Alligator mississippiensis: one gene and its partners. The protein of the gene in region 2 binds, or shares a complex with, the protein of the main gene of each other region. Links are inferred from orthologs where the notes say so. Each region holds a gene or a part of one and is shown on either strand. Other genes may lie near its edges. The genes, in order: ACTL6B, ARID1B, SMARCD3 and DPF1.

What was found.
Region 1: ARID1B (region 2) and ACTL6B share a complex: the UniProt entries of both Homo sapiens proteins name them as parts of the neuron-specific chromatin remodeling complex. The link is inferred for Alligator mississippiensis from reciprocal best matches to the Homo sapiens genes ARID1B and ACTL6B.
Region 3: ARID1B (region 2) and SMARCD3 share a complex: the UniProt entries of both Homo sapiens proteins name them as parts of the neuron-specific chromatin remodeling complex. The link is inferred for Alligator mississippiensis from reciprocal best matches to the Homo sapiens genes ARID1B and SMARCD3.
Region 4: ARID1B (region 2) and DPF1 share a complex: the UniProt entries of both Homo sapiens proteins name them as parts of the neuron-specific chromatin remodeling complex. The link is inferred for Alligator mississippiensis from reciprocal best matches to the Homo sapiens genes ARID1B and DPF1.

The regions. Positions count from the first base shown.
Region 1 is NC_081838.1:23,998,608-24,005,835, reverse strand, and holds the start of ACTL6B (actin-like protein 6B), read right to left. Parts: upstream 3,002-7,228; 5' UTR 2,920-3,001; coding exon 2,895-2,919; intron 2,702-2,894; coding exon 2,625-2,701; intron 2,271-2,624; coding exon 2,105-2,270; intron 1,630-2,104; coding exon 1,529-1,629; intron 889-1,528; coding exon 791-888; intron 264-790; coding exon 169-263; intron 1-168. Other genes in the region: SRRT (serrate RNA effector molecule homolog), read left to right, coding at 4,543-4,661, 4,954-5,082, 5,162-5,308, 5,398-5,586. UniProt on the Homo sapiens protein: Involved in transcriptional activation and repression of select genes by chromatin remodeling (alteration of DNA-nucleosome topology).
Region 2 is NC_081824.1:135,152,964-135,159,996, reverse strand, and holds the start of ARID1B (AT-rich interactive domain-containing protein 1B), read right to left. Parts: upstream 3,007-7,033; 5' UTR 2,585-3,006; coding exon 1,172-2,584; intron 1-1,171. UniProt on the Homo sapiens protein: Involved in transcriptional activation and repression of select genes by chromatin remodeling (alteration of DNA-nucleosome topology).
Region 3 is NC_081828.1:220,569,168-220,577,183, reverse strand, and holds the start of SMARCD3 (SWI/SNF-related matrix-associated actin-dependent regulator of chromatin subfamily D member 3), read right to left. Parts: upstream 3,009-8,016; 5' UTR 1-3,008. UniProt on the Homo sapiens protein: Involved in transcriptional activation and repression of select genes by chromatin remodeling (alteration of DNA-nucleosome topology).
Region 4 is NC_081838.1:2,408,824-2,415,840, reverse strand, and holds the start of DPF1 (zinc finger protein neuro-d4), read right to left. Parts: upstream 3,013-7,017; 5' UTR 2,974-3,012; coding exon of another isoform or gene 2,874-2,973; coding exon 2,791-2,873; intron 1,582-2,790; coding exon 1,421-1,581; intron 1,247-1,420; coding exon 1,139-1,246; intron 1,050-1,138; coding exon 922-1,049; intron 831-921; coding exon 741-830; intron 592-740; coding exon 513-591; intron 76-512; coding exon 1-75. Other genes in the region: NUMBL (numb-like protein), read right to left, coding at 5,073-5,641, 6,135-6,269, 6,346-6,684. UniProt on the Homo sapiens protein: May have an important role in developing neurons by participating in regulation of cell survival, possibly as a neurospecific transcription factor. Belongs to the neuron-specific chromatin remodeling complex (nBAF complex).

The DNA of each region.
Region 1 (7,228 bases), on a different chromosome or scaffold from region 2:
GCCATGTCCCCGCCCCTCCCCCCCTCAGAGTTCGCCCTTCTCAAAGCACAGGGAATGGACCCAGGCATCTGGGGACCTCTCCCTCTGGCTCCCAGAGGGGACCCAGACATCCAGGCTGCCTCCTCTGTGCCCCCTGGGGAACCCAGGTGTCCAGGTGGGGGATCTCACCCTGCTGCAGGATGTAGCCGTCGTGCACCGGGATGGCGGTGGTATGGGTGGCGCCACTGTCCAGCACCAGCCCCGTGCTGCGCCCATTGGCAAAGCTGACCCCTGAGTCAAGGCTTGGACACCTGGGTTCTCTGCCTGCCCTGGGCAGGAGTGGACCTGGATGCTTGTGTTCTCTGCTGGGCCCAGGGGGGCATGGGGGGAGGCTGTCTGGGATACATGCTGAGCTCATGGTGCGGGGGTGGGGCTGGGGCCCCTGGAGGGGAGGTCCTGGACTGGAACCCAGGTGTCCTGGTGTTCCACTCCCTTCCTCCATAGAGTATGTTGTGACCAGGAGGGTCTGGGGAGACATACTTGGGGAGCACAGCAGGGGGGACATTGAGGGATATGCAGTGAGGATGGTGGTCGTACAGAGGAAGGTAGGGTCCCAAGGGTTTGGGGGTATCCCAGGGGGTGGTCTGGGTGAATCCCAGGGGGATACAAGGTGAGCATGGCAGGGGTTCTGGGGGGCTATGAGGGGTCCCAGGGGGTGTCCCAGGGGTGGGGGGGATATGCAGTGAGCACGACGGTCTTGCAGAGGAAGAAGAGAGAGTCTGGGGGTGGTGGTCTCCAGGGGGTTGGATACGCGGTGAGTACAGCGGTCTTGCAGAGGAAGAAAGCCGGGATGTTGTAGTGCTCGAACATCAGCTCCGTCAGCTTCTCCCGCTTGGCCCGCGTGTTCCACTACGGGGACATGGGCCGCTTGCTAGGGCAATGGGGGGGGTCTAGTTGCCATGGGGATGGGGGGGTGACCTGGTTGCCATGGGGCATGCAGGGCCTGGTTGCTATAGGACATGCAGGGGTGTCCGATTGCTATGGAGATGGGATCCTGTTGCTACAGGATAGGCAAGTGGCCGAGTTACTATGGAGAGAGGGATATTGTTGCTATGGGACATGTAGGGGGTCTGGGTGCTATGGAGATGCACACCCTTGTTGCTATGGGGATCAGAGCCCCTATTGTTGTGGAGATGGGAGCTGTGTTTGCTATGGGACAGGCAGGGGGTCGGGTTCCTATGGAGCCCAGATTCCAGTTGCTATGGAACAGGTGGGGGGGGGTCCAGTTACTTGGAGATGGGAGCCCAGTTGCTATGGTACATGCAGGGCCTGGTCGCTATGAAGATAGGGGCCCAGTTGCTATGGGACACGCAGGGCCTGGTTGCCATGGGCACACACAGATGGGGACAGTGGTAGCCGGGGGCACATGCTGTTGCCATGGGGAAGATGGGGTGGTGGTTTCTGGATGGGGGGAGGGGGAACACACAGTTGCCATGGGGAGGACATGGAGCAGTTGCCGGGGGCAGTTGCTGCGACGATGGGCACGTACCGGCGCCTCGGACATGAGCACCGGGTGCAGGCCAGGCTCCGACTTGATGTGCTTGCTGTAGGTGTGGTCCAGGATGGCCTGGAAGCACTCCCAGTCCTCCACTGGGGGGCAGGGAGCAGGGTCAGCTGACTGGCCCTGCCCCCTGCACCACAAGGTGCAGCACCGGGTGTCAGGGAGTGTGGCCACAGGGTAGGGGTGGGGGTGGGGCCTCTGCCCCCCTGCTATTATGGGTGGGGGCATGGCCTAGGATGTAGGGGGTGTGGTCAGAGCCAGGGGCGTGGCTTGTTCTGTAGGGGGCAGGGCTGGTTTGGGCATGGTCAGAGCCTAGGGGGTGGGGCATGGGTTGTGGGGGTGGGGTGTACAGGTGTGGCCAGAGCCAAGGGGGTGTGGCTGGGTTTAGCCATGGCTAGACCCAAGGGGGTGTGGCCAGTCCTGTAGGGAGGCAGGGCTAGGTACGGGTGTGACCAGAGCCAAGGGGGTGTGACCTGGGCCTAGGAGGGCATAGCCTGGCTCCTGCCCAGGGCAGCCACCTATGGGGGTGGGGCCTGGCGGCCTGGGGACAGGGCCAGGGCTCACCCATGCCGTTCTTGAGAGGGGAGAGGACCTCGGCAGCCTCGCGGGGCACATGCAGTGCATTGGTGTCGATGTAGTAGGCCTTGCCACCCTTCTTGTCCTTGTCGCCGTCCAGCTCCAGCACTGCCTCCTCGTGCGACTGCAGCCCCACGCTGGTGGGGAAGTCCGCCTGGGGCGGGGGTCAGCACAGTGCCCCAGCCCTGATCCTGGCTCCAATCCCCGATCTGATCCCCGAGCCTGGCCCCCATTTCCCACTCCCAGCCCCTGGGCCCAATCATGAACCCCAATCCCCAATCCTGGACCCCAGCCCCATCCCAGCCTCTGATCCCAGATCCCAGCCCCATAGACCCCACCCCAGCCCCCCAGTTCCGATCCTGACCCCCAAGCCCGGATCCTGGCCCCATGCTAGATGCAGAGCATGCAACATCCCTCAGAGGGCCCAACCCGGGATGGGGAGGGGGCTTCACCTTCAAACCTACTCCCCACCCCACAGCCCAGAGGCCCTGATCCAGGACTCGCGTACCTTGGGGCAGTCCTCGCCTGCATAGCCGGCTCGGACCGAGAAGGAGCCGATGTCAAAGACCAGTGCCCCGACTTCATCTGGGGAGAAGACAGCACGTGAGACCCCTCCCCATGCAGCTGTGCCTGGGGGGGGGGGGGGGGGGCCGGACTGGGTAGAATGACAGAATGCCTCGGTTCTCGATAGGGGGTCCCGGGCCCCTGGGTTGTCTCTCGCGGGGGGTCCCGGGTCCCTGCATTCTCTATGGGGCCCGGACGGGTGCCCCCCCCGCACCTCCCCCATAGACGCCTCCGCTCATCCTGGCTCGGCAGCAGGTCCCAGCGGCGCGGCTGGTTCAGCACCGCGGCGACGGACAGCGTCCGGGGGGGCGGGGGAGGAAGAGCGGCCGCAGCCAATCCCAGGGCCGTCCCCTCCCGGCGCAGCTCCCGATTGGCTGGCCGGGCAGACAATGAGTGACAATTGAGCTGCTTCTTAAAGGGGCAGGCGGGAGATTTTTTTTGAGCTGGGGCGGACGACTGGGTTCTCCCCGAGCTCCCGGGAGCACGTGCATGGGATGCAGGCTGGAACGGGGCAGGGCTAGGGTATGGGATGGAGGCGCGGCTAATTATGCAAATCACAGCACGGGGGAGGCGGGGCTAGGGGTGGTGAGGTGAAGGGGTGCCTTAGCCTGGACTGCACCACAGCTGTGCTGGGGGGGTTATTTCTTTCTCAGGCTGGGTGTGGTGGGGCGTGATTTGGTATCGCCCTGCTTCCCCTCTCATGAAAGCAGTTGGTTTCTCCCACGTTCCCCCACCTAGTTAGTCTGGTCCATCCTAGTCCCCTCCCACCACCACCCCCGCTAGGAATGTGTTGGCCTCTCCCGTTCTCCCCCCCTCCCCGAACAGAGAGTTGGTATCACCCTCCCCCCCTTATCTTGGGTTTGGTGTTTCTCATTCCACCCCACTTGGTATCACCTATCCCCCCATGCCCAGTGAGTTGTTCCCTCCCACTCCGCCCCTCAGCACCAAGAGAGTTGATATCACCCACCCCTACACCCTGTGAAGTGGTCTCTCCCACTCCCACCTCCCCCGCCATTGAGACAGTTGGTATCACCCACCCCTCTACCTGTTCCCTCCATAGCTACTGTATTGGTCTCTCCCATCTCCTCCCACCGCAGTCAGAGTTGGTATCACCCACCCCTTCTCCCGCTATAGGGAATTGGTCTCTTCAACTCCCCCTACACCGAGACTTGGTATCACCCACCTCCTCCCCCCAGATCCAGTGACTTGGTCTCTCCGAGCCCTCCCCCCACCCTCAGTTGTGCTGGGCGCCCTCGAGCGAGTCCTCCACGCCATAGAAGGCTGGACCTGAGTGAGTCCTCTGCACCATAGAGGCGGGAGGTAGACAGTCTTCCGAACCATAGAGTCCCACCTCCTAGACCGGCCCCTAGCGAGTCCTCTACGTTAGAGAGGGCTGAGACCTAGTCAGTCCTCCGCACCAGAGGCTGGGGCTAGAGAGTCCCCAGCGAGTCCTCCACGCCAGCTAGGGCCGCGGCCCGGAGAGGCGCGTGGTTAGAGCGTCCCCCGCCCCCTGCCACCACCTCTACGCGCTTCCGGCGCGGCCCCGTTTCCGCTTCCGCCGCGCGCGCTGCGGTCGCCTCGCGCCGAGCGGAGCCAGTGTCACCCCAGGCCCCCCTCAACCCCTGAGGTGCGGGGGGGCGCTGGGCTTCTGGGGAGGGGTTTCCATGGAAACGGGGGTGGGCTTGCCATAGCAACGGGAGGGGGGCGCCTTAGCGGGTGGGGGCTTTAGGGGGTGTGGGGGTCGCCATGGCAACGAAGGGTGTGGGAGGGGTCTGGGGTATCCATGGCAACAGTTGCTTGGGGTGATGGGGGACTGGACCCCCGGAGCAGCCGCTGATATCTCCCTTCCCCAGGCATTAGCGATGGGAGACAGCGACGATGAGTACGACCGGCGGCGCCGCGACAAGTTCCGGCGTGAGCGCAGCGATTACGACCGCTCGCGGGAGCGCGACGACCGGCGGCGCGATGACTGGAACGACCGGTGGGGGCCAGGCCGGGACGCCCGGCTGGGGGGGGTGACAGGGCCGGGATGCGCCCAGCTCTGGGGTAGAGCACAGCCAGGTGTAACAGCACCAGGGATGTAGCCAGCTCTAGGGTGGGAAGAGCAGGGAGGTATAGCAAGCGGGGTTAAAGTGCAGCTGGCTCAGGGAGAGGGAGAGGGCCAGGCTAGGTAGAACAAGCCTGGATGCACCCAGCCCTGGGGAGGGGGTATGTGGGGACAGCAGAGGGAGATGTTGCCCCCGTGCCTTTAATTCCTTCCCCTAATCTGGCAGGGATTGGGACCGTGGGCGGGAGCGCCGCAGCCGGGGCGAGTACCGAGACTATGACCGGAACCGGCGGGAGCGCTTCTCCCCGCCCCGCCATGAGCTCAGCCCCCCACAGAAGCGCATGCGCCGGGACTGGTGAGTCCAACCCCCTCATCCCTCCCCACGCCCCCCCCCATGGGTTGACCGCTTCTGACACCCCTGTTTCTCCCTGCAGGGATGAGCACAGCGGGGACCCCTACCACAGCGGCTACGAGATGCCCTACAGCGGGGGGGGCGCCGGGCCAGCCTACGGCCCCCCCCAGCCCTGGGCACACCCTGACATGCATGTCATGCAGCATCACATCTTGCCTATCCAGGCAAGGTAAGTGTGTGCCCTTTGTCCTCTAACCTCCCAACTCCCATCTGCCCTGTCCTCAGCTTCTACCCCGACATCTCTGCCCCCCCCACTAGGCTGGGGAACATCGCGGAGGTGGACCTGGGCATGGCGCCACCTGTGATGAAGAGCTTCAAGGAGTTCCTGCTGTCCCTGGACGACTCGGTGGATGAGACGGAGGCTGTGAAGCGCTACAATGATTACAAGCTGGATTTCCGGCGCCAGCAGATGCAGGACTTCTTCCTGGCCCACAAGGATGAGGAATGGTACGTCCCGCCCCCCCTGGAGTCCCGGTCCCCATGTAGGAGTGAGAAGTGGTGTGTTTCCTTCCATACCATAGTGAGGAATAGTACGTCTTGGTCCCCCACAAGTATCAGGAATGGTTTTTTTCTTATCCTCGTACAAGAATGAGGAATGGCATGTCCCATCCCGTCCGCCCGCCCCCCCCGCCCCGAATGAGGAATGGTGCATCCTATTCACCCCCTAAGAATAAGGAGTGGCATGTCATTCCCCCCCCAAGAGTGGAGAATGGTATGCCCCATTCTCCCCCCCACCAAGAGTGGGGAGTTACTGTACATCCTGTCATGTCCCCCCCTCATCAGAAATGGTATTTCCCATTCCTCCCTTCCCCAGGAACAAGCAGTGCTGTGTCCTATTTCTCAGAGATCTGAGGAATGGCACGTTTTATTTCTGCTGAGGATGAAGAATGGTATGTCCCATTTCTCATCAGGATGAGCAATGGTACATCTCATTTCTCTCAAAGATGAAGAATCATGTGTGTGTGCCCCCACACAGCTGCCCCACCCCTGAAGAATGAGGAATGGTGCAGACCACCCACAGCTCTATTCTCTTCACCCCCATCCCCCCCAGGGTTCGGTATGGGACCTGGGAACCAGCAGCGGGGTGAAACTGGTCCCAATTAAGGGCAGGAGATTGGGGGTGGGGCCAGTGCTCCCCTTCCCCAATGTACAGCCCGGCCCCTGCTGTGTTCTTTGGCTCCTTCCATGCCGGACTCCTGGGTTCCTTCTACTCTCGCAGCCCCACCGCCCAGTCTCCCCAGTAACAGACAGGCCCTGGGGACTGTCTCCAGACTGGTCCCAGTATAGATCTCAGTGTAAACCCCAACTCCGAGGTAGCCACATTATAGCACCCGCGTCCTGTTCCACCCAGCCTGGCCTCCCAGAGCTGGGCGCATCCAGGCCTGCTCTACCCATCCATGCCCCTCTGGGCGTACCTGGGCCTGTTACACCCAGCCTGACACCCTCCCCACCCCCCGAGCTATGCATATCCTGTCCTGTTCTACCCAGCCTGGTTCTCCCAGAGCTGGGTGCATCCAAGCCTGTTCCACCTATCCACGCCCCTCCCCAGAACAAGCTGCATCTCCCATTGCTCCGAGGGGGGCCCTGTTACACCCTGAGAACCCAGGCGTCCTGCAAGCTGACAGCCCCCTCCTTAAAAAAACCAAACAAACCACAAACTCCAATCTATACCTGAAACCCCAATTCTTGCATTTTTCCCTTTAAATTCTTCTCCCTTTGTTAGCTTTTGACTTTTTTCTCTTAACGAGTCCGTCTCCGTTCCATTGTGGATGTTAATTATAACTCACCCTTCTTTTCCCCCCCCCCCCACGTCCTCCTCCACCCGGTTCCCAGCCAGAAAGGAGAGAAGCCAATTAAGCTGCCCGCCTGCGGAGAGACCAAAAATAGCCGTTTTTTTTTCCATTATTTTCTTTTTTCCGGTGCCAATCCCGGTGCTTTCGGCGCTACCGACTCCCGGCGGCTGCCTCCCCATCCGGGCCCTCGTTAGCCAGACAGCCAGGGCCCGCCCACCACGCACAATGTGGTGCCTTAGAACTACGTAAAAGTCGGCAGGAATTAGACAGAGAGGCCGGGAAATTTGCCCAAAAAC
Region 2 (7,033 bases):
TTGCATCTGTGAGCGCTACTGCTCAGTTATTATTTGTGGCAAGAATTTTTGTGACTGTATTGCTCAGCACTTCTATTTACATCAGCAGTGCTAAATGCCCAATGGTGAGAGAGGAGCCAATCAGATGGCAGATTAGATGTCAACTCAGAGGCAGCTGTCTGGAGACTATTACAGCCAGTTTACCTCCACAATTCAAATTCCAAACCTTGCAAAGGAGATCAAGTCACTCTTTAGGTTCAGACTGCTAGCAAGAAACACCAAGAGCGCAAAGCCCTTTCTAATCAAGCCCTTGACTTTGGAGGAGGACAAAAAAAAAATAGCCAGCTATACAGAGCATCCAACAATCATTTGCTATCTATTGATTTAGTAATATATTGGATTTAGCTAATCAGTCGCCTGCATTCGTCCAAACAAGCAGGGCTTTCAGGGGCTAGGCCTGTTTCTACAAAGGAAGGACTCTGCTGCTCTAATTGGGGACCATGCATGCCTGGACGGGCACGGCTTGCTCCAAACACCCCCCGCACTTCTACCAACGGGTTATTCTTGTCTCGGGGAGCAGACACGCGCGCACCAGCGAGGTCTAGGACGGATCTCGGGGCGGATCAGGGGACCCTTCGCCACTACGGCACGCACGTTTCGAGCCGCCAGAAGGAACCTGGCAGTGTTTGGAGCGCCTTCCCAACAATGAACTCATCTGGGTAAAAAGGCAGGACAGAGCTCTTTGCTCTGGAGGGTTGGGGGGGGGAGAAAGAGACAAATTTAAAAAAAAAAATCCTGATGGAGACTGATCAATATCCGCTCCCAGGCGCTGCTGGAGTGGTCAGAAAAGCAGCACCTTCCCTCTGCATCCCTTCTCCCACCCTCCCCACCCCACTTTGGGACTGGGGCCCTGCAATCCCTGGCTCAAAACAGACGGCAAAGGCTTGGGGGCTTGAGGGGAGGCACAAATAAGCTGGAAAAAAAAGCGACACAGCCCACGGCCTACATCCAGCCCACCCCAGAGGCTCCCCGGCCTAGCCAGAGGCGGGCATGGGGACACCCCCTTGCCATAGAGTTGAGCAACAAGCAACCAACCCGGCAAAGAAATCGGGGCTCCTGCCACCCGCCCGCCCGCCCACACGCGTGAGGGGAGGGGAGGGGAGGGCACCCCTGGCCCTCACCCTGCGGTTACCTGGGTCCTGCTGAGGGGCTGCGCGGTGCTGCCCGGGCTCATGGCCGGGTGACTCCTTTGTTGCGCCGCTGCCCAGGCCGGGCTGGCCGCCCCGTACTGCGAGCCCATGTCCTTGGCCAGGCCCATGCCCGCCGCTGCCTGCTGGCTGCCGGGGGCCGCGGCGGCCGCCTGCGCCTGCGGCTGGGGCTGGGGCGGCGGGGCGCCGGGGCTGCTGTACTCGGCGTAGCCGCTGCCGTAGCTCCTCATCATGGGGCTGGGGGACGTGAGCAGCTGGTTGAGCGTCGGCGTGGCCCCGGACGGGTGCGGGCTCTGGCTGGAGAAGCGCTGGAAGCCGCCGCCCGCCGCCGCCGCCTTGCCCAGGCCGCCCGCCGCGCCGGGGCCCAGCATCACGCCGCCGCCCTGCTGCCGGGGCGAGCTCAGCACCCCGTACGAGCCCGCATACGCGCCGCTGGCTCCTCCCGCGCCCGCCGCCGCCGCTGCTGCCGCCGCGCCGCCGGTCCGGCCGTAGCCGGGGTAGTGGTTGTACTGGCTGTTGGCGAAGCCCTCATGGGAGTTGTGCAGGGGGTCCATGCCGCTGGGGGCCGCCGCGGGGTGCATCAGCCCCATCCCGGGGCTTTGTTGTCCGCCATGTTGATCAAAGCAAGGCCCGGCGCGGCCGGCGGCGGCGGAGCTGCTGCCGCCGCCGCCGCTGCCCGGGGCCGCGCCGGGGCCGAAGTAGGCGCTGAAGTCGGCGCCCAAGCCGCTGCCCGCGCCGGGGGGAGGCGGCGGCGCTGGCGCTGGCTGCTGCGGCGGCGGCGCTGGCTGCTGCTGCTGCTGCGCGCCCAGCGCCGGGTGCTCGTAGCGCGGCTCGCCCAGCTTCTCCTCCTCCTCCTCCTCCTCCTCCTCCGGGCCGCCTTTGCTCAGCAGGGGCGGCGGCGGCTCGGCCTGGGCGCCCCCCGCGCCGTCCTTGCCTCCATGTTGCTGCTCCATGTCTGCACTGGGCTGCGCAGCGCCGCTCTTCTGCATGGCATGGTGCGGAGCCGCCGCCTGCTGCTGCGGCGGCGGCGGCGGCTGCTGTTGCTGTTGCGGCGGGAAGGCGCCGAGGTGGTGGTGGTGGTGGTGGTGGGCATGGTGCAGGGCATGGTGCGGGTGCAGCGCCTCGCCGCCCTTCAGCTTGTGGTTGGGGAGCAGCCCCGCGTCCATCGGGGCCGCGCCGCCGCCGTCCTTGTCCGCGTTGTTGGCCGTGCCCAGCTCGGCGCGGTGCTGCAGGACGCTGCCCAGGCCGCCGCCGTCCCCGGCGCCCAGCATGGAGCCCCCGCCGCCGCCCGCCGCCGCGCCGCGCTCCTGGCTCAGGCTGCCCGGCAAGCCCGGCGCTTTGCCCTTGCTGTTGTTCGCCCCCGCCGGAGCCGCTGCCACTTGCGCGGCCATGATCATGGCAACATTGCGAGGCCCGGGGAGGAGGAGGAGGAGGAGGGGTGGGGGGGGGAGCCGCACAAAACAGAGAAGAAGAAGAAGAAGAAGAATTAAAAAACGCAGCAGAGGAAAGAGACGGGCTCCGGGGAGGGGACCCGCACACGCCCGCCGCCGCACACGCGAAATTTACCGCAGCTCCCCTCCCCGCGTGTCCGGGGCGGCCGTGGGTCCGTGCCTGCTCCGGCTGCCTCCCTCGCTGCTGCTGCTGGAAGCAAGCGGGGGTGGTGGTGGGTTTCTTTCTTTCTTTTTTTTTTTCAAGGGGGGGGGATTTTTTTTCCTTTTTTTTTGTTGGTTCGGGTTTTAAATGAAACTTTTTTTTCTTGCCTTTTCCTCCCTCACCCGGATATGGGGAAATACACGTCTGACTGAGCCGCTCCGGCCCAGCATGGCATGGGAGAGCGAGCGAGAGAGAGAGAGAGCGAGCTCCGACAACTATTATCCACTTCTCTCGGCCTGCCGCCGCGCGCCTGGAAAACGCGGACTGGACTTTCCCTCCCTCCTGCTCCGCAGCCGCCGCCGCCGCGCGCGGGGAGGGCAGGAGAGGAGAGGAGGCTACCTCGGGAGTCCCGCACCTTTCTGGGGAAGGTTGGGCTCCCCGCTTTTCTTTTTCTTTTTCTTTTTCTTTTTTTGCCTGGCAAGGACCCCAGTGTTAGAGAGAGGGAGACAGAGAGGGAGCAGGAACCCTAGTGTTAGAGTGAGAGAGAGAGAGAGGGGTAACCGCAGCATAACAGAGAGAGGTGACCAGGGCCCTGGCAAAGAAGTTTGGCACGTGGGGCAAAGCCCACAGCAGCAGCCCGCCCTTGTCTCATGCACAGATCCAGGAAGCACATGTCCCCTCATACTTGCCGAGGAGCGAATGCAGCAGCAAGAGCTGCCCTCCCCGTGTCCCCATGCCCCCCCTCCCCGCCATGAGCTGTTTGTGGCTCTGTCCCACCCCCGGCCCAGTTAGGCAGGGCCTGTTGGCATCCCTGTCACTTTGGTGCCTGGGGTGGCCACCCCACTCAACCAATCCCTTGCTACAGCACTGGAGGTGACCCTAGTTTTGGAGAGAGAGAAAGGTGGACCATAGTGTTATAGAGAGAAAAAGAGAGAGGTGGCCCTAGTGCTAGAGAGAGAGCAGTGACCCCAGTGTTAGAAAGAGGGGTGACCCAAGTGTTAGAGATAATGAGAGAGAGCAAGGTAACCCTAGTGTTATAGAAAGAGAGAGGTGGCCCTAGTTCTAGAGAGCGAGATAGGTGACCCTAGTGTGAGAGAGAGAAAAGTAACCTTAGTGTTAGGGAGAGAAAGAGGTGACCCTAGCGTGAGAGAGAGAGGTTACCCTACTGCGGAGGTTTGCAACCTTTATTTCATTTGCAGACTGATAAAAAATTTCAAATGGAGGCACGGACCCCTTTGGAAGTTTTGAATGGAGATGCGGACTCCTTTGAATTGTAAGTGTGCAGGTATTCTTAATACTTTTAATTGATGGTAGTCGTCTTTTACAGACCCCTTAGGCTCCCGGGGCTCCGCAGACCACAAGTTGGAAACCACTGCCCTAGTGTTAGAGAGATACAGAGCTAGAGGGGTGACCCTAGTGTCAGAGAGAGGGTGGGGAGAAAACTCACTTGGTCCAGTTCATTCCCTCATCTTTTGTACAGAGCCTAATCGTGTATGAAACTGATGCTCCAGTTCCTCTAAATCCAAAAGCCAAGAACTAGGCAGCCGTGGGTCAAATCCAGCACAGATAAAACTCAGCTAGAATAGAAAGCACTTCCATCAGGAAGGAATTTAGCTCTCCTCCTAAGTATGTTTTGGGTCCTGGTCAAATGTAGTCTGGGAGCTAAAGTGGGGCAAGAGAACAACCCAAACACCTTGTGGGTGCTGCATACTTTTGGGTTAAGAAGAAAAACAAAAACCTAGTGAAATTTGCCAAACCTCTAACCTGTTTCTGAGTCCACCTTGCAGTGTTCAAAAGCTTTCTCCTGCTATTCTTAAGAGGAATGCAGTGTACTGGCTGTGATGATTTGATGAAAAAATAAAATACGATTTTACAACAATGTCTTTGGTGTGCAGAGGTTTGTAAAATACAATGTGAAATTCAGCGACGGGCATTTTCGCACTTGTCTCTAGTGTCCGGCTGGCTCAAAATCCTAGGGATTGTTTGAACTAATTATGTCTTTAATGTAACTGTTAGGTTTGGGGCTGTTTTCAACACATCCTTTGTATTTCTATGCAGATCAAGAGGACTTAAAGAGAGTAAAACATTTTCAGTGTTACAATCACATCCACAAACATTATTCCAGGATAGGCTAGATGTTAGTGGAAATGTAGTAATATAAAGTACAGTGTGTGAGCAAAGCAACATTTACTCAGCATTAAACTGTTACATTAATAATAATGACTTTCATTTATATAGTAGCCCTTTCGGCAAGTGCTGGTGGTTAGTTCTTTTAAATAACTGCTTTGATTCACGTAATAACTTGATATACATAAAGGTAACAGTCATATGCAAGATTTAACTGGTAAAATGAGGGGGAAAATCAACTAGCTTTTTCCGGACATCAGCAAAATAGGATATTAATGTTATTTTGTCAAGATTTAAATTCATTACTTGGCATAAATATTTTATCACAATGTTTTAAACAGCTGTATTTTCTGGAAGACAGTGTTATGAATAGGAAGGCATATTGTGTCCATTGTGAAAACATTGAAAAACAGAAGCTTCATGATATAATGTTGACTTACACTCAAAGATTATTGAAACATGTATGAACAACGCATGTCCGGTGTTTATTGACTTCTTAACTGCTGTGCAGCAAAATCAGAAAATATTAGGACTTCCATTATGAAGTTAGTTTGCAAGTCTCAGAATTTGTCAACTATGTGTTGATAACACTTGTATTTCAGCTACATCCAACCTTGCTTTTTTTTTTTTCTTTTGGTACTGCAAGTGTAGAAATGTTATACGGTTAGCAGAAAACGAGAGTGTGGAAAAAATTGGTGAGTAATTCTAGTGGGGGGAATCAGGTGCATACCCAAGGGTCATTACAGCCTGCAACAACAACAAATTGCAATTCTATGCAAACTGCGAGAAAGAGGGTATATCATCTTTGTAGAAAAGAGAATAACAGAACTGTAAGATGAATTCATGCCAAATCATTCATCAGCTTTTGCCAAGAGAATACTACATCTTTGTTAGTGAGCCTTTTTGACATTTTCTCCTGGATTTTCTTCTTTTCCATATTCAAACACACACTAATTATACACATTAAACCACATAAGTTGATTTTTGAAGTCTTTCATATGCAAATATAAATATAGAGGTCTACTTGTGTCTATTTATTTATGTGTGTGTTCTAAAATCAAATACAAAATCAATTACACATTTATGCTTTTAGACATTAATGTAAAAGTGTGTATGTGTGTATACGGGTATATATAAAAATGTGATAAGATGTACTGAAGGTAGCTCACTTGAGGATTACAATACTTTCTGACTTACTTGGTAACTAGTTCTGAACAGGAAAATAAGCCACAAAGTTTAACACAGATTTACTTTTAAAATATTTTCCCTGGAAAAAAAGTGAGGACTCTTCAGCACTGAAAAGTTTATACTAAAATGTGTCCTTCCATTTATTTCAGCAAGTCAGCTACAAGATTGGAACTAAAAGGCTATAAAATAGAGGCCCTCAGCACAATGAAATCAGTCTGTTATAAAAGGCAACACATGCCAGTTTTTCCTCCCCAATGGCAGATGCCACACCCTAAAGTAGACAGAAGGCACTGCAGTCTGTGCAAGTGAAGCACGACACAAAGCAACTATGGTTCAGTTTTTTAGATCGCAAATAATGTAGAAATATACCTTTTGCTATCTTTGCTCAGATGATGAGTGGTAGTGTATGTTAAATTCAAATGATCCTTTCCAAAAGCTCTCTCCATATGTATGAATTATGAATATAAATGCATATAATGTAGAAAGCTGTAATTGCCATGCATATTATCTGTTGCAAAATGACTAGATCAAGTTTTTAGTCTTACAAGTGTACAACTGCAACTTTGTATTTAAATTTTGATCATTTCTTCAATGTTATTATTTCTTAAAAATGTATGTTATTTAATACAGTACTGGTTCCTTTTGCATAAACCATTGCTATATACTCCTACTGAATGTTGATTTTTTTTGATAAAATTTAGAACTCTGCTCTAGGATCAGTTTCCCAGATTAACGTTACAATTTTCTAAACTTACTGTTGTTGATTCTGACACCTGTGCAGATCCCTAGGCCATCTTTGTTTAGGTGGTCCAGTATGAACACCATATACCTTTCACAGCCGTAAGACAGCCTTCTGCTTGGCCAAAGCAAATTTTATAAAATAAAAGGAGCAAAAGTATGAAAAGTAATAGTGAATAGATGCATAGAAAATAAACCAA
Region 3 (8,016 bases), on a different chromosome or scaffold from region 2:
AGACCAAAGAGGAGGTCCACGCGACCGGCCGGGGCAGCACCAGGTAGAAAGGTGATGGTTTGTAGGAGATTAATACCTCTGTTTTATTCAAGCTGAGCTTACTTGATGGCTGGACACCCAGAACAGATGCCAGAAAAGGCAAGTGAGAATGTGCTACTGGTTAAAGGAAGGGAGAAAGCTGACCAGCAGACTGGTATATCAGCATAAAGATGGTTACCGGCAGGGTTTTGGATCAGAGCACTGCAAACAGGGTGCAGAGAGGGGAAAAGGACAGGCCAGAGATAGGGCCTTCAGAGGTGTCCACCAAGACAGGCTGAGGAGGACCTGTTAAAGCAGGCTTGAGGTAGGCAGGGACCATAAAAGGACAGGAGTGCCAAGAAAGCGATTTCAGGAAGGTGTGGTTGTCAGCAGCAAAGGCCATCATGGAGTTAAGGAGAATGAGGCTACAGCACAGGCTTCAAGATCTTGCCCATCACGAGACCAGTCTGGATAATGCAGAGGTTCTCAACCTTTCCAGACTCAAGACACACCTTGTGAGGCTCCAGGCCCCCGCAGAAAATGCCACCTCTTCATTGTCACTCATTTCTCGACCATGGAAAAATAAGAGCAATTCTTCTGTGACAAGAAAGCAAGAGGGACCACAGCAGGTCTGAAAGTTTGTGATGCTGGGGATTCCTGTTTGAAATCTCTGGGTTTATCTTATGAATCATGTGTAAGTGTCTGGACACCTAACAGGACTCATAATGTGCATGACCCTTGATAGGGTCTTGTACCGCCCAGCTGAGGATCACTGGGGTAGAGCAAAGAGAGGGTCAGGACCAGAGATGGAGGAGAGGGGCAGAGCCCAGAACGATGACACAAGAGCTGGTGACAAAGTGTGTGCCGACAGGGATTCGGGAAGTCCAGTCTCAGTCCCCAGGAAATGTGGCAAGAGTCTTCTCTCCAAAATCCTTTCCACCACTGGCAACAACACTGCTGAGGACACTGGCGCCCCTCCCTGACAGAAAACTCATCAGTTATCACCTCAAGCACTTCTGCCCCCATATCAAGAGCTACAGCCTCATGGACACTATCAGAGACTCTGCTGCTGCCTTCGCTTTTACACGGAAACTGCATGACCCATTGCAGCCTGAGGCCGAGTGGCTAGAGAAATGAGAGCGCAGGCAGCAGCTGTGACGGCTCCTTCAGTCGTTTTGGAGGCGGAGATGGAGGAGCACAGGGGCCAGAGCAGAGATGAAGGAGCGCAGGCTGGCGAGACAGGTGAGGTCAGGAGAGACTCTCCTTCTGGTGGAGGAGACTTGGCTGTGCCCACGTCCAGAGAAGGACAAGGAAGGAGGCAAGAACGGAGGTGAAGGAACTAAAAGAGTAGATCAGGGTCAGTGCAGCAGTAAAAGGAAAACACACAACATAATGCCAGGGCTCCACTGCCCAGGGAGTGGGAGGAGAAGCTGCTGGGGCAGGCCTGCGGGGCCTTGCTAAGGAGCAGTGGGCTGCTCTGAGGAGAGCTGTGCCACACCGGCACCAGCGACCTCCGCCCCAGACATCTGCCTGACTGCAGCCACATGCGCGGAGCGATGCTGGAGCCTGCAATCCCCTCGCGGACGAGGCAGCCAGTCTCCAATGCCGCCTGCATGGCGACAAACTACAGCAAAGGCTCTTTGGAAGGCCAAGCACACAGCGGAAGCCAGTTTTTGGTCATCCACTACTGTCAACATCCTCAGGCAGTTCCAGCGCTGGAGAGGCCCAGTTCTGCATCAGAAAGCCTGACTTCAGCCTGACTCTCATCTGACCCCAGCACTCTTTCCTGCCTAGGCAGGGGGTTGGACTCCATGATCTGTTGAGGTCCCTTCCGACCCCAGCATCTATGAATCTATGACTGACCCTGACACCCCTCACCCACCCACAGGTGAGAGGGGGTCTCTTCACCACCGCTTCAGCCATTGTCCCCGGTACTGAAGGGAGTGCGTTGGCCTGTCATTGCCAAGAGAACACTTGACCCTTTAAAAGGCCACCCACGTGCTCCCGACTCCCAGGCCGCCTCACATGCCCACCCCGTGCTGCACTGCCCCACAGGCCGTCCGCATGTGCCAGCCAGCAGACTGCCCCATGCATTCAGCTCTACCCTTAGGTCACCCCCCGTTCACAGTCTGCTGCACAGGCCTGCCCGTTGGCAGGCGTGCTACCCCACAGGCTGGCCTGCCCCCAGACTCGAGCTGTACGACCAAGGGCACTGCTCACAACCAGTGCTCATTTGCCAGTCACTAATCCTGCGGGTCCCCAGTGCCGCGGTCACTAGGATGCTGTTCTCATATAAACGGCATGCTGCTCACACTGCCCTAGGCTGGCAGGTCCGGATCGCCCCATCTCGGGGGTTTGTCAAAGACGTCACGCTCCAGGCAAGCAAACCGAGGGCAAGAGCCAGGCCGCCAAAGGGGCAGCACCGTGGGCTGCTGGACTCTAACGCAGAGCCCTCTGTGACGGCTTGGAAGAGGGTGCCACTGCAAGCAGATCCCAGGTCCTCAAGAGAAAGTGCACGCAAGCTCTGACAGCCACTCAGCCTTCGCGCTCCTCAGACTCCCCAGCACTGCGCCTTCTGTTACACTGACGTCTCCTTAAGAAACCCCAATGTCACAAGCTGCAATTGTTCTCCGTCACTGCTGGGAGCCCCGGAGGGACACACAAGGCGGAGGAAGGCATGCCCTCACGAATGGCAATCCCTTGAATGTCAGGAGGCCTCCAATGGCCACAGGAAGGCTACAAGGATGTTGAGGGTGCCCAAAGTATGGCAGCTTGAGGCTCCCCAGCAACGAGCGCACAGCTAGTCTCCTGGAGCCCCTGGAAGTCACCTGTTAGGTAGCCAGGGGACACACGAGAGCCAAGTCCACAGACAAGTCCCGCGCCCCGCGGCACAGGGCTTTCCCAGCATCCCTGCACGCAGCAGGAGCTGAACTGCAGAACCAGGCGCCCTGCGAGACCGCAGGGGTCGGATCCGCTCTGGCCCCTGCCCCGGAACCGGTCTGGAAGCAAACCCGCCCCCCCATTCCCACAGCGTCAGAAGCAATGACCGCTGCACACCTCACCCCAACGCCTGCCCACGGAGCTGGGCCCATCCCCTGCTCCTGCCACGCGGCGTGGACCGCCAGCCAGCACCCAGGGCACACGGCAGGGCTGCTCCCAGCCCAGCCCTGGCGCCTGGCTCGCTCATCCCTCTGTTCAGCACCAGCCAGCTCTCTAACTTTCCCGACTCACCACCCCGTGGACCAGAAACTCAAAAAGTTTGCTTTTCGTGGCTTTGCGAGCCCCGCCGGCAACTTCATCCGTGGCCATCGGGTCGGCTCAGCCTCTCTCCTCTCCCTCTGCCTCTTTCTTTCCCTTTTCTGCCTTTTTCTCCAACTCTCCCCTCTGAGTCCTGCTGGGCTCTCACACTTCTAATAGAGCGGAGTGGGGAGGGGGCCCCTTCAGGGCCTTCCTGACGGCCCACTCCCGCTAATCCTCAGCTGCTGCATTCCTCAACTGATAAGCCAGAAATAGTTTGTGCTGCCCGGGTCTGTGTGTTTACTCTGCAGGGACAGAAAATCCAGCCTTTTAAACCTCTCTGTCCAAACAGCAGAGATAAGCGGGAGGCAAACTGAAAACACGTCTGAGCCTTCCAGCAGCAGCACTGCAGCCTCTCCTCTCCAGCGCCACAGGATCCTGGGCCCTGGGGTGCAGGGGGAGCTCCGGCAAGGACATGGAGCAGCTCGCAGGGAGGCTCTGCCAGCTAAAGAAAGCACCCGGCAGCCGTGGGGAACAATAGCTGTCTTGGTCTCCTCCAGCACTGCATTCCCAGGCCTTCTCCCCAGGGACGTGGCAGGCAGCACAGAAACATTCACTGGCAGGATTTCCAGCACAGAAGGCTAAGAACAAGCCCCTCCGGACAAGCGCGGCACCAGCAGGAGACAGAAATCCGGGGAAAGGAAGGGCAGCGCGCAAGCGAGGGGAAGGAAAGAGTGTGAGGAGAGGGAGGCAGGCGGAGGGGGAGCGTGCGCCAAGGAGGCAGCGCAGCATGGCGACGGCAGGGCACAATGTGTGGCTGGCTTCCCCGCCTGCCTGCCCGCAGCATCCCGATCGCCTCCCCGGCTAGGCGCCCTGCCCTCGAGATGCTCGCGGCCCACTGTCCCAGCCCTGTCACAGACCCCCGTGATGGATGGATGCACACAGACAAATCATTAACGCTGTACATGCTGCCCCGCGTGAGCGGCAGCAGCGTGCAACACAAAGCCTCACGTGCACGACAAAGCACGTTGTCCCCAGGGATGCGGCGCGCCCCGCCACGCCCAGGGAAGGGGAGAAGGGAGGGATGGGGCAGCAGAAGAGGAGGGAAGATGGGTTTCACAGCCTTCGCCTGCTCCCAGCGCCCAAGCCGGCGGGAAAGGTGCGGGTGCTGCCGGGCTGCTGGAGCGGCCGCCATTCTGCGCTCCGCTGCACTGGCTCCTCCATCACCGCAGCCGTGGCCTGGGGCAGCAATCTGCTCGCTGACAGCTCCGCATGCGCCCGCAGCCTGCCAGGGTTTGCTGCCACAGCAAGAGACACGTTGCCAGGTTACAGGAGGGTTTATCCTTCCCTCCTGCTCGCAATTCCTGTCCAGGAGCCGGGAAGCGACCGATCTCTCGCGGTCGCTGACCCAACTGCTGCAGCCAGAACCACGTGGAGGAGACCCTGGACGAGCTGCAAGCGCGCCGCGCCGCAGCTCCCACCCCGAGGCATGGGGACCAGGCAGCTCAACCCCGGCACTTGCGTGGGGCTCCCTGGGGGGATTCCAGGAGCCGGGGGGACAGGGGCGCTGGGCAGCGCGTGGCAGGCCGCCGTCCTGCTGAACCCCGGCTCCGGGTCCCTGTTTGGTGGGCAGCACCAGGCCCACGTCTCTGCAACAGAAGCATCCTCCGACGCAGGATGCGCCCTCCCTGCCTTCGTCCCGCTCCTCGTGGCCGGGCACCGCGCCCACGGCTGGGACGCTCCCGCCTCCGCGGCAAGAGGATGCTGGGGCCGTCTCCCTGGATCCCTCCACGGGGGGGGGGCGCAAGCTGCTGCGCCCGCAGAGCGGGCCGGCCCTGCCTGCACGTGCCGAGACGCCGTTCTGGAGGGAGCGCTAGCCCAGCCCGGCCAGGCCGCCCGGGGCAGCGGGAGGGCACGGGGCCGCGGCCGGCTCCAGGCCCTGATGGCGCGGCCGGCCCCTGCCGCGGCGCGGGGGCTCGCCACAAACAGGCTGGACGGCCTGCGTCCCCCATGCGCCGGGGTGGGGCACGCGTGCAGGGCCGCACACCAGGCGCGCACGTGTGCGCCGGGTCTCACACGCCCACCAACAGGCAGGAGCGCAGGTACGCGTCGGCACGTGGCGTCTCACACGCGTGCACGTGCGACAGTAGGTGGGATCCCGTGCACACTTGCATGAACAAGCAGGGTTTTGCACGCACACAGACACACGGGGTCCTGTGCAGACACACGCAGGACACCGCAGGGGCACGCCCAGGCCTGGCGGGCACGGCCGGGCCGGGCCGGGCGCTGCGCGGGGCCCGCGGAGCCCCCCTCTCGGCGCCCCACGTCGGCTCCAGCCACCGAAGCGCCGAATGGCAGCGGCCCCGCGCCCCGCTCCCGCCCCGCCCGCCCGCCCGGGCCCGCCCCGTGGCGCTCGCAGCTGCCGGGCCGCGCCGAACCGAGCCGAGCCGAGCCGGGCCGGGAGCCGCGGGGCGCATGCGCGGGGCCGTGAAGGTCAGCCCGCGGCGCGGCGCGGCGCGGCCCGGCTGCGGGAGCGGGGGGAGGGGCGGGGCGGGCGCCTTAACCCCCTCGCGCCCGGAGCCCGGCCCGGCCCGGCCGCGGGGGAGCGCCCGCCCGCCTCGGGGGGTGCCGGTGCGGGGTCCCGGCCCCGCCGCGGCTCTGGGCCCGAGCGAGGCCGGGAGCGCCCCGGCCCCCCAGCCACCACACCACGACCACCCTCGCACCCCGCCCCGCGCTCCACGTCCGCACCGCGACCACCGCCCCGCGCCCGCATCCACCCTGTGGCAAACGCCACCCTGACGCCAGGCCCCGCAGCCGCCCCGCGCCCACGTCCACGTCCACGTCCAGCGCACCGCAACCACCGCCCCCGCACCTGGCCTCTCAGCCGCCCTTTGCTCAGCGCCCTCCAGCCACCGTCCACCACGCGGCAACCACCGCCCCGACACCCGGCCCTGTGACCACCCCTCAGCCACATCCACCGTGTGGCGAGCACCGCCCTAACGCCGGGCCCCACAGCCACCCCTCACCTGTGTCCACCACACAGCAATCACCGCCCCTCACCAGCATCCATCGCACGGCAACCACCGCCCTAATGCCAGGCCCCGCAGCCGCCTCGCCAGCATCCACGGCGCGGCGAGCACCGCCCCGACACCCGGCCCCGCAGCCGCCCCGTGGAAGTGCTGCCCTAACGCCTGCCCGGGGGCGAGGCCTGACCAGTGCCTGCCGGTGTGCCACCAGAGGCAAGGCCACCGGGCCTTGGCGGGCAGCGAGCCTCCGCAGCAGCCCCTCACCCGGCCCTGCTGCCGGCCTGCCCCGCGCTCCTGCTCCTCAGCCTGCCGGCGCAGAACGGGCTCGTCTCCTGGGCCCGGCGCCAGCACGCCCAGCGCCGTCTGGCAGAGCGAGCGCGCGCTCCAGGTGCCGCGATCCCTAACCAGAACGGTGCGGGGAGAAGGGCTGGGCAGGGACTGACGTGGTCACAGCCGCCTTCGCCCGGTGCTTGGCGCTTGAGACACTTACAAGAGGTGGCTGAAGCTGCTGGGGCTCCTGACCAAGAGCCAGGACTCCCTCCTTCGTTTTGTTTAGCAAAAGCCAGGGGGATTTCCACAGGAGGAAGACCAGGCCTTTCCCCCGGCACACCACGTTTCAGAGACCGGCTGCGAACGCGTGCTCTCGTGGGGCTGCAAGGGGCCTCCAGAGGTCGCGTCTAGTCCAGCCTTTGCCCAAACCATCCCAGACAAATCCGCTGTGCAGCCTCTCGGGCAGCCTGCAGTCAACCCTGGTGCGGCACTGGGCACCGCACCTGACCCTGTGGCGGGGAACGCAGGGGCATCAGGGCAACCGACGTCCTGCTGCTACACAGCTTGTTAATATACGCTGGAGAGATCCCAGGCAGGACCCGGGGCCGGGGCAAGAGCGTCCAGCCAGGAACCTGTGGGTTTCAGTCCCAGCAGGAGCGCTGGCACAGCAGCTGCGCAGCCCTCAGCCTGCTGCAGCAACAGCCAGCGCCGCCGAAGAAGGCACCCATCTCCGAATCCTCTCCAAGTTCTCTGCATCCTTTTTTAAAACACGGAGCCGAAAGCAACACAGTTATTTCGGTGAGGCCTAACCAGTGCCACGCAGAGAGGCATGCTCCCATCCCATGTCTTGCACCTGATGCAGCCCAAAACCGCACTCACCTTTTGTGCGGCTGCATCATGCTGCCAACTCCTGTGGAGCCCGATCCATGGGGACTCCCAGACCTCTCCCCGAATTCTCCCATCCAGCTGGGTGTCACCCAATTTGTAGCTGCATTTTTGATTAGCCTCCCACAAGTGCCACACCTTGCTTTTGGCAGCACTGAACTTCATCCCATTAGCTAGTCACTAGGAGGTCACAACCTTATTCTATACTGTAAGCGTCAGGCCCCCGATATGCATATAGGGGTCACTGCCAGCTGCAACGTCGCTCTTTCTGTGGCCTCCTCTCTGGGCTTTCTTACCTACTTACGTGGCTGCGCCCACAATCACCACACTGGTAACTTACTGCTCTACCTCCGTGCACGCCCCATCTTCCTGCTGCTTCTCAATCCATCTCCAACATGGAAAACAAAACCATCTGTGCAACAAGTAAGAGAGGAAGGTCTTGCAATGCTGACCATCACGGAGGAGCAGGTGAGCGAGCAAAGGACCTGCCCCTGCCAGCAGGTCCAGATCACACCCCCAGGGCATGTGGGGGCACTCTCCCCCCCACCGCTGCCTCTGCAAAGTCAGAGCCCAGGGCAGT
Region 4 (7,017 bases), on a different chromosome or scaffold from region 2:
CCTCCTCCTCGGCCAGGTGCGTGTGCGTGTAGTGGTAGCTCAGCCCCGGGCGGTTCTTGTAGCGCTTCCCGCAGACTGGGGGGGCGGACACACGGTCAGAGCCCCCGCCCGGACGCCTGGGCTCGCTCCCCCGCAACTGGGACCTGTGGGGGCCCTGAGACCACGACTGCCCCCCACCCCCGATCTATGGCCAGCAGCTGGGGGACCCCTCCAGCTCCCGCCCTTTGCCCCAGACCCCTAGCTCCCCTGAGACTAGAGCTGGGGGGGCCTGTAGCCCCAACCCCCTGCCCTGCCTGGACCCATGGGTCCCCCGAGCCTAGGGTTGGGAGGGGGCTGTAGACCCAGCCCCCTCCTCCCCCCCCCAGACACCTGGGGTCCCCCAAGAGCAGGAGCTGGAGGTTGGGGGCCCCCGTCTGCCCCCTTGTCCGGACACCTGGGTCCCCTGCGGCTCGTAGCTGGGGCAGAGGGGCTGAGCCCCCCGCCCCGCCTGGACACCCACGTCGCACACTCACTGTCGCAGACGTAGGGCTTGTCCCGGTCCTCCAGCGTGGCCGCATCCTGCCTCTTGCGCATGCCCCCGATCCCGTACGCCTGGTGGGGGTGGGGGGGGGGGGGCGCAGGGAGAAGGAGGGAGGTCACAAATTTCCGGGGAGACTCCCCCGCCTCCCTCTTTTCGCACGCCAGGCCGGACCCCAACCCGCCGTCCCAGGCCCTGGGGGCGGCAGGGACCCCCCCCCGACCTTGCCCTTGGCCTTGTTCTTCCTCCGCGGGAGGTCGTCGTCCAGCTCGTCGCCCTCCAGGTCGTGCGGGAACTCGCCCATCGGGGGCTTCTGCAATGGGGGAGGGGGTCGCTCTAGGGCACCTGCCTGGGGCAGGGGTCCCCGTGGGGGGGGCCGGGCGGTTGGGGGGGGGGGGTCTCACCTGACAGTCCAGCACCATCTCCTCCTCCTTCAGCTCCGTCTTCTTGTCGCCCGTCTCGGCGCAGAGCAGCGCCTCCAGCACCGGCCCCTCGGGCAGCCCCCCCTCCTTCTTCAGGGGCGCCTCGCAGTCTGGGGGGCGGTTGGGGGGGGGGGGGGGCACGTCAGATCCGGCCGGACCCCGGCCCTATCCCCCAGCCGCCCCCCACCGCGGTCCTTACCGATCTTGAACTCACACGGCCGCAGTCGCGGGTCCTCCAGGATGTTCAGTCGCCGCTTCTTGCGCCAGCAGCGCGCCGGGTAGGTATAGATCTGCCCCGGGGCCAGGCCTGGCGGGGGGTAGCATGAGCCTGGAGACCCCCCCCCCCCCGCCCCCCACAACCCATCCGAGCCAGCCTCGCCCCCCCAGCTTAGCAGGGCTAGGGGGGCAGGGGGCTGCGGGCCGGGAGCGAGGGGCACCGGCGGGAGGGGGTGGTGGGACGGGGGCGGGGTGGGGGTCTCACCGGGGCCACGGTGGGTCTTCTCCATCCAGATGTAGCAGTTGCTCTGGGCGACGCCGGTCTGCGAGTCGAGGAAGGGCAGGCGCATGCTGCGCTCGGCGCAGAGCCGCGCGTTGTAGCTGCGACAGTGCTCGATGGCCTCGCGGTAGAAGTCCTCGCCCAGGCTGTGCGGGGGGGTCGGGGGGGGGGGTCAGACCCCTGCCAGGCCCCCGTTGCGCCCCTCCCACCTGCCCTGACCCCCCCTGCTCTGCCCCTGCCCCCCACCCCTCCCACCACCGTGACTCCAAGCAGCCTTGGGGACCCTGCGCTGGCTCCACCCGGGGGGGCCTGGACCCAGCAGCGAGCACGGACCCTCCCGGGATGAGCCGTGCCCCCCCCCCAAATAGCGCCAAGGCCTCTGACTGCAAGGCCACCATGGGATGACCCGTGACCTTTCGCGGGAGCTGCCGAGGGGTCGGCTCTGGCACCTGTGCCAGGGGGCAGCACTGAGCAGCCAAGGGGGGGGGTGAGGGGCACCATGGGAGGTTGGGCAGCAGCTCAGATGACCCCGGGTGACCCCTAGGCTCCTGACGGGGGGGGGGGGTGGTCCCAGGCTGACCCCCTGATTAACCCTTGCCCTGCTGTACACAAGGGTGCCCATGCCCAACCCCTGCCCCACGCACATCTGGCTCTGGGCAGGGAGAGGACCCAGGCCAGCACCTGCCCCGATTGCCCCCCCTGCCCCCAGTTCCCTTCCAAGCCGGACACCCGGGGTGTCTGGGCCGGGGGTTGGCGCAGGGGCCGGGGGCGCGGACGCTTGGGCTCCCCCCAGCGCTGGTGGGGGTGGGGTCTGCGGGGGGGCCCGGGGGTGCGGACGCTGGGCTCTCTCCCCACCTCTGCACCCCTCTGACCCAGTCACCCCCCCCACCTTCCTCATCAGGACCAGGTGCTGCCCCCAGGTGACCCCAGGGCCCTGCCCGGCTGGGGGGGCACGACCCTGGCCCGAGGGTGCCCCCACCCAGGCAGCGCAGGGAACAGGATTTAGGCCCTGCCGGCCCCCCCCCCCCGCCCAGCGACACCCCGCTTGGGGCCGCATCTGGGGTGCAGCCAGGTGGCAAGACGGTGCCCCTCGCTCCCGACCGGCAGCCCCCTCCCTCCTGCCCCAGCCCCGCGCCCCCGACCCCCAGCCCCGCCGGTGCGCCTCGCTCCCGACCCCCAGCCCTGGCAGTGCCCCTCACTCCCGCCCTGCAGCCCCCCCTCCCCTCCCCTCCTCTCCCACCCAGCCCCACCGGTGCCCCTCGCTCCCGACCCCCATCCCCGCCGGTGCCCCCCACTGCCGCCCCGGCTCAGGCCTGCGGCGCTCTGGCTGCCGCCCCGCAGCCCCCGGCTCTCACCCCTCCAGCGGCTTGTGCACCGCCGTGGCCATTTTGCACGGTGGGTTTTTCACTTCTCGCATCGGAATCCGGGGCGATTTCATTCATTCCCAGCCCGCAGCGGGGGGGTGGGGGGGAGGGGGCGGCCCCCCCCGCCCCAGTGCATGCTGGGGGATGCAGTCCGTCCCCCCCAGCCCCCTCCATCCAGGCCCCCCCTCCCCAGCTTTGCACATCACCGCAGTGGGTGGGGGGGGAGAAGGGGGGGCTACTAGGGTGGGTGGGAGGACTACAAGTCCCAGCATGCCTTGCGTTTGACAGCTGCAAGGCCCGCCCCCCAGGAGGACACAGATTGGCTGGCAGAGGCGAGCGGGGGTGTCTGTCAGCAGGGGGGGGTGAGGGCAGGTGCAGGTGAGAGCTGCTGGGGGGGGGGGGGTTGTGGCTGCCCTCTCCCTGTGCCTCAGTTTCCCTTGGGGGGGTTGGAGGGAATGAGGACTAGTGGATGCAGGGATCCAGGATCGGGCCCCGCAGAGTGGTGCCAAGCGCTGCCCGGACCCCCACCCCAGATCGGGGCCCCCATGCCAGGCACCAGCAGGCTCGGGGTTACCCCACTTGTGCCAGGCGCCGCAGCCAGAATCGGGGCCATTGTGCCAGGCGCTGCCAGGATCGGGGCCCCCGCATGCGCCTGGCACTGCCTAGACCCCCCACCCAGGATCGGGGCCCCCGCTTATGCCAGGTGCCACCTAGACCCCCACCCAGGATCGGGCCCCTCGGGTGCTGCCCGGCCCCTTGCTCTCGGCCAGCCGAGCCCCCGAGGAGGCCTGGGCCCGACGAGACCCCAGCCCCCCTGCCCCATTTCTAACCCCGCAGACTCCCCTCCCCCCTGGGACCTGGGGGACAACCCAGGTATCTGGGCTCCCGCTCCACCCGCCCCCCCCAGGCAACTGGGCCCCTGCCCGACCCCTTCTACAGCTGGGGAAACTGAGGCATGGCACCATGGCAGACCCTGCCCCCCCTTCTCCCAGCTGCACAGGGAGCCCAGAGCTGCCCCCCGCCTCTAACCCCCTCCCCAAAGCTTCTTGCCCTGACCCCCACTCAACCCTCCCTGCCCCCCCCCCCCCAGCCTGGCCCCACCCCGGGCAGCGCGGTGCCTTTAAGAGCTCTGGAGCATCCCTCCCTGCCGGTTCCCATGGCAACCGCGAGGGATCCATTTCCGAAAGCGAGCAAAAAAGGCCATAAAAATATATTTCTCCCCCCTCCCCCCCCACAATCCCCTGGGAGCAGGCTGGGCCCCCCCCCGGGCAAAAGCAACCCCCCCCAGGAGTCAAAGGGCGAGGCCCCGACTGTCCCCCCCCCCCCCAACATGGTGAGCCACTGGGCCACCCAGGGACGACACCTGCAGCCACTGCAGGCCCTTCCCTGCCCCGGGGTCAGAGGTCAGGCTTGGCCTTCTGGCCCTGGAGCTGGGGGACGTTTGTGCCTCCCCAGGCCCTGCCCTCTTCCCCATGTGGCAGCTGCCTGGGTGGGGGGGGGGCGTATTTGGGACAGGAAGTGACCAACAGGGCATGATCAAGCCAAAGCCATGAGAATGCCCCCCCCGCCCCCCCACAAACAGGGCTCCAGGCGGCTCTTCTAGGACTCTTGTTTATTGGCAGCTCTATGATACAAACCCGCACGCGGCCCCAGAGTGGGGGGGGGCCAGCCCCGTCCCACCAGCTGGGCCGGGGCTTCCCCAGCCTGCCCCACAATGCCCTGGGGCCATTGGGGTGGGGGAATAAAGTAGAGGACCCCACCCACTGCATGACCCTCCCCCAACCTGGAGAATGGGGTGGGGGGGGGGGTTGGCTAGGCCTGGACCCCACCAGCTGGGCTGGGGGCTGGAACACAAAGGGTTAACACATGTTGCTCCCCCCAAACCCCAGGGGGCTGCGGGAAGACCTGGGGGGGATTAGACAAAAATACAAAAATCTGGATTTTAAGTTAAAAAGAACAGACATAAAATTGGGGGTGGGGGGGGAGAAGAGACCCTCTAGACCCCCCCAGTATAAAGTGTGTGTGGGGGGGTCTCCTGCTGTTCCCAGCACCCCTGCTTACAGATGCCCCCCCCATGAGATGGGGAGGGGGATTAAGGCACCCCTAGGTGCAGGCCGGGCCTGGGGGGCTTCACAGGGAACTTTGGGGGGGTCCTGCACCCCCGTTAACCCACATGGGCCACAGGAGGGGGGGTTCATACCCCTTTTAGCCTCCCCCTGGCAAACCAGGACCCTCATCTCGGGTCCAGGGGCTCAGCAAGGGCGCCCCCCGGCTCACAGCTCGATCTCGAAGGTCTTCGGCCTGTCGCCAGCGAAGGGGTTGGGGGGCGCGGGGGGCTTGGTCTCCAGTGCCGCCCACTGTGCCTCGAAGGGGTCGGTCGCGGGGGGCACGGGGGGCTGCGCAGCTGTCTCGGGGGGCCAGGGGGCGGCCGCCGGCTTGGGCTTGGGGGGGGGGCCGGAGCGGGCAGCAGAGCAGAAGACGTTGGCCACCATCTGGGAGGGGGTGAGGCCGACCAGGGGCACGTGGGGGGCGGCGTAGGGCAGGCCAGGGGGGGGACAGGCACCCAGGGGCATGAAGCTAGGGGGGGCAGCAAAGAAGCTCAGGGCCGTGGGTGCTGCCTCATAGCCCAGGGCGTAGGGGGGCAGCGGGGCCACGGGCAGCGCCACGGGCAGGGCCACCATGGCAGGTGCAGGCAGGGGAGGCGGCGGCTGTGTGGCCTTGGCGGCCGTGGCCACCTCCTCCAGCCACCGCTCGGCCTCCGATGGTGTGCGCCGGTGTCCCGGCGCGACGGGGGGTGCGGGCGCCACGGGGTCTGGGGCCGGCGCCGGCACTCCCCAGGTGGCTGCAGGGAAGGAGACAAGGGTCAGGGCAGCTCGGCGGTGGATGGGGGACCTGGGGGTGGGGGCGTGACCACAGTAGGGGCGTGGCCATACAGGAGGGCAAATAGGGGTGTGGTCACTAGAGTTGTAGTCATGTCTGGGGGCGTGGCCACACCTGGGGGCATGGCCAATAGGGGGTGTGGTCATATCTGGGGGTGGGGCCAAGAGGGAGTGTGGCCAGTTTACGGGTGTGGGCACATAGGGAGTGTAGTTGCAAGCAGTAGGTGTGCCCATACTGTTGGGGGGGGGGGAGGGGGGCGCCCATAATGGGGTGTGGCCATATAGGGATCATAGTTGAGAGCAGGGGTGTGGCTTTACTGAAGGCGTGACCACAGCTGGAGCACAGCTGCCATCAGGGGGTGTGGCCATAGCTAGACATGCTGCTGCTGCCTAGGGGCGTGGCCATAGGAAGAGGCATGGCCACCTCTGCTGAGCCCTGAGTGGGCGGGGCAGTACCTGGGGCAGCAGGCAGGGGCGGACTGGGGGCGGTGGCACCGGGGGGAGCAGTAGCGCCGAGCGAGGCGTCGATTTGGCTGCAAAGTGCGGTGATGCCGTCGGCGTCGCCGGGGGGCGTGGGCTCCATCTCCAGCACTAGGGCGCAGAGACAAGGTGGGAATGAACCCCGATCTGACCCCCCTGCAGCCCCCCTCCCGCGGCGGTGGCTCACCAGGCCCGGGCTGGCGGTACAGACCGCGGCGCTGCAGCGTGGAGGGCAGGTCGTTGAGGCGCAGCGAGAGCTGGCGCTTGAAGGGCGAGTTGCGCTGGCTGAGCGCAGGGAAGCCGCGGAAGGAGCCCTGGCGAACCAGCTGCTCCAGGGGCGCGTGGCGCCGTGGGATGGCCTGCGGCCGGCCCCCACCCTCCGCGCCCGCTGGTGCCCCCGGCTCCGCCATGCCTGCTCCGGCGCCTGCTGACGGTGACCCGCCGCCTGGCTGCACGGGGACGGGGGGTGCTGACGAGGCGGCGGCAGCGGTGACGGCGGGGGCGGCCGGGGCGGCCGCAGCCTCTGCTGGGGGGCAATGGGGATCAGACCTTTCCTGAGACCCAGACCAAGGTACCCACTGCTGCCACCCCCAAGATCCACCCCCCACCCCCCGGGAGACCCAGCCCCACCCAAAAGCCCCCTACACGTACCCCCACCACAGCCCCAGGCTACCCATCCCCCAAGTGCTCCCAGCCCTCTCCACAACCTCTAGAACAGGGGGGCTGCAGGTGAGGACCCCTCTCCCTGTCCCCCAAGAAGTGCTCCTCCCTGCCCCCCACATGACCCCCTACCATGGCCCCAAGCCCCCCAGGACCCTCCTTACCCCCCAAATACTCCCAGCTCCAAACATGGTGGGGT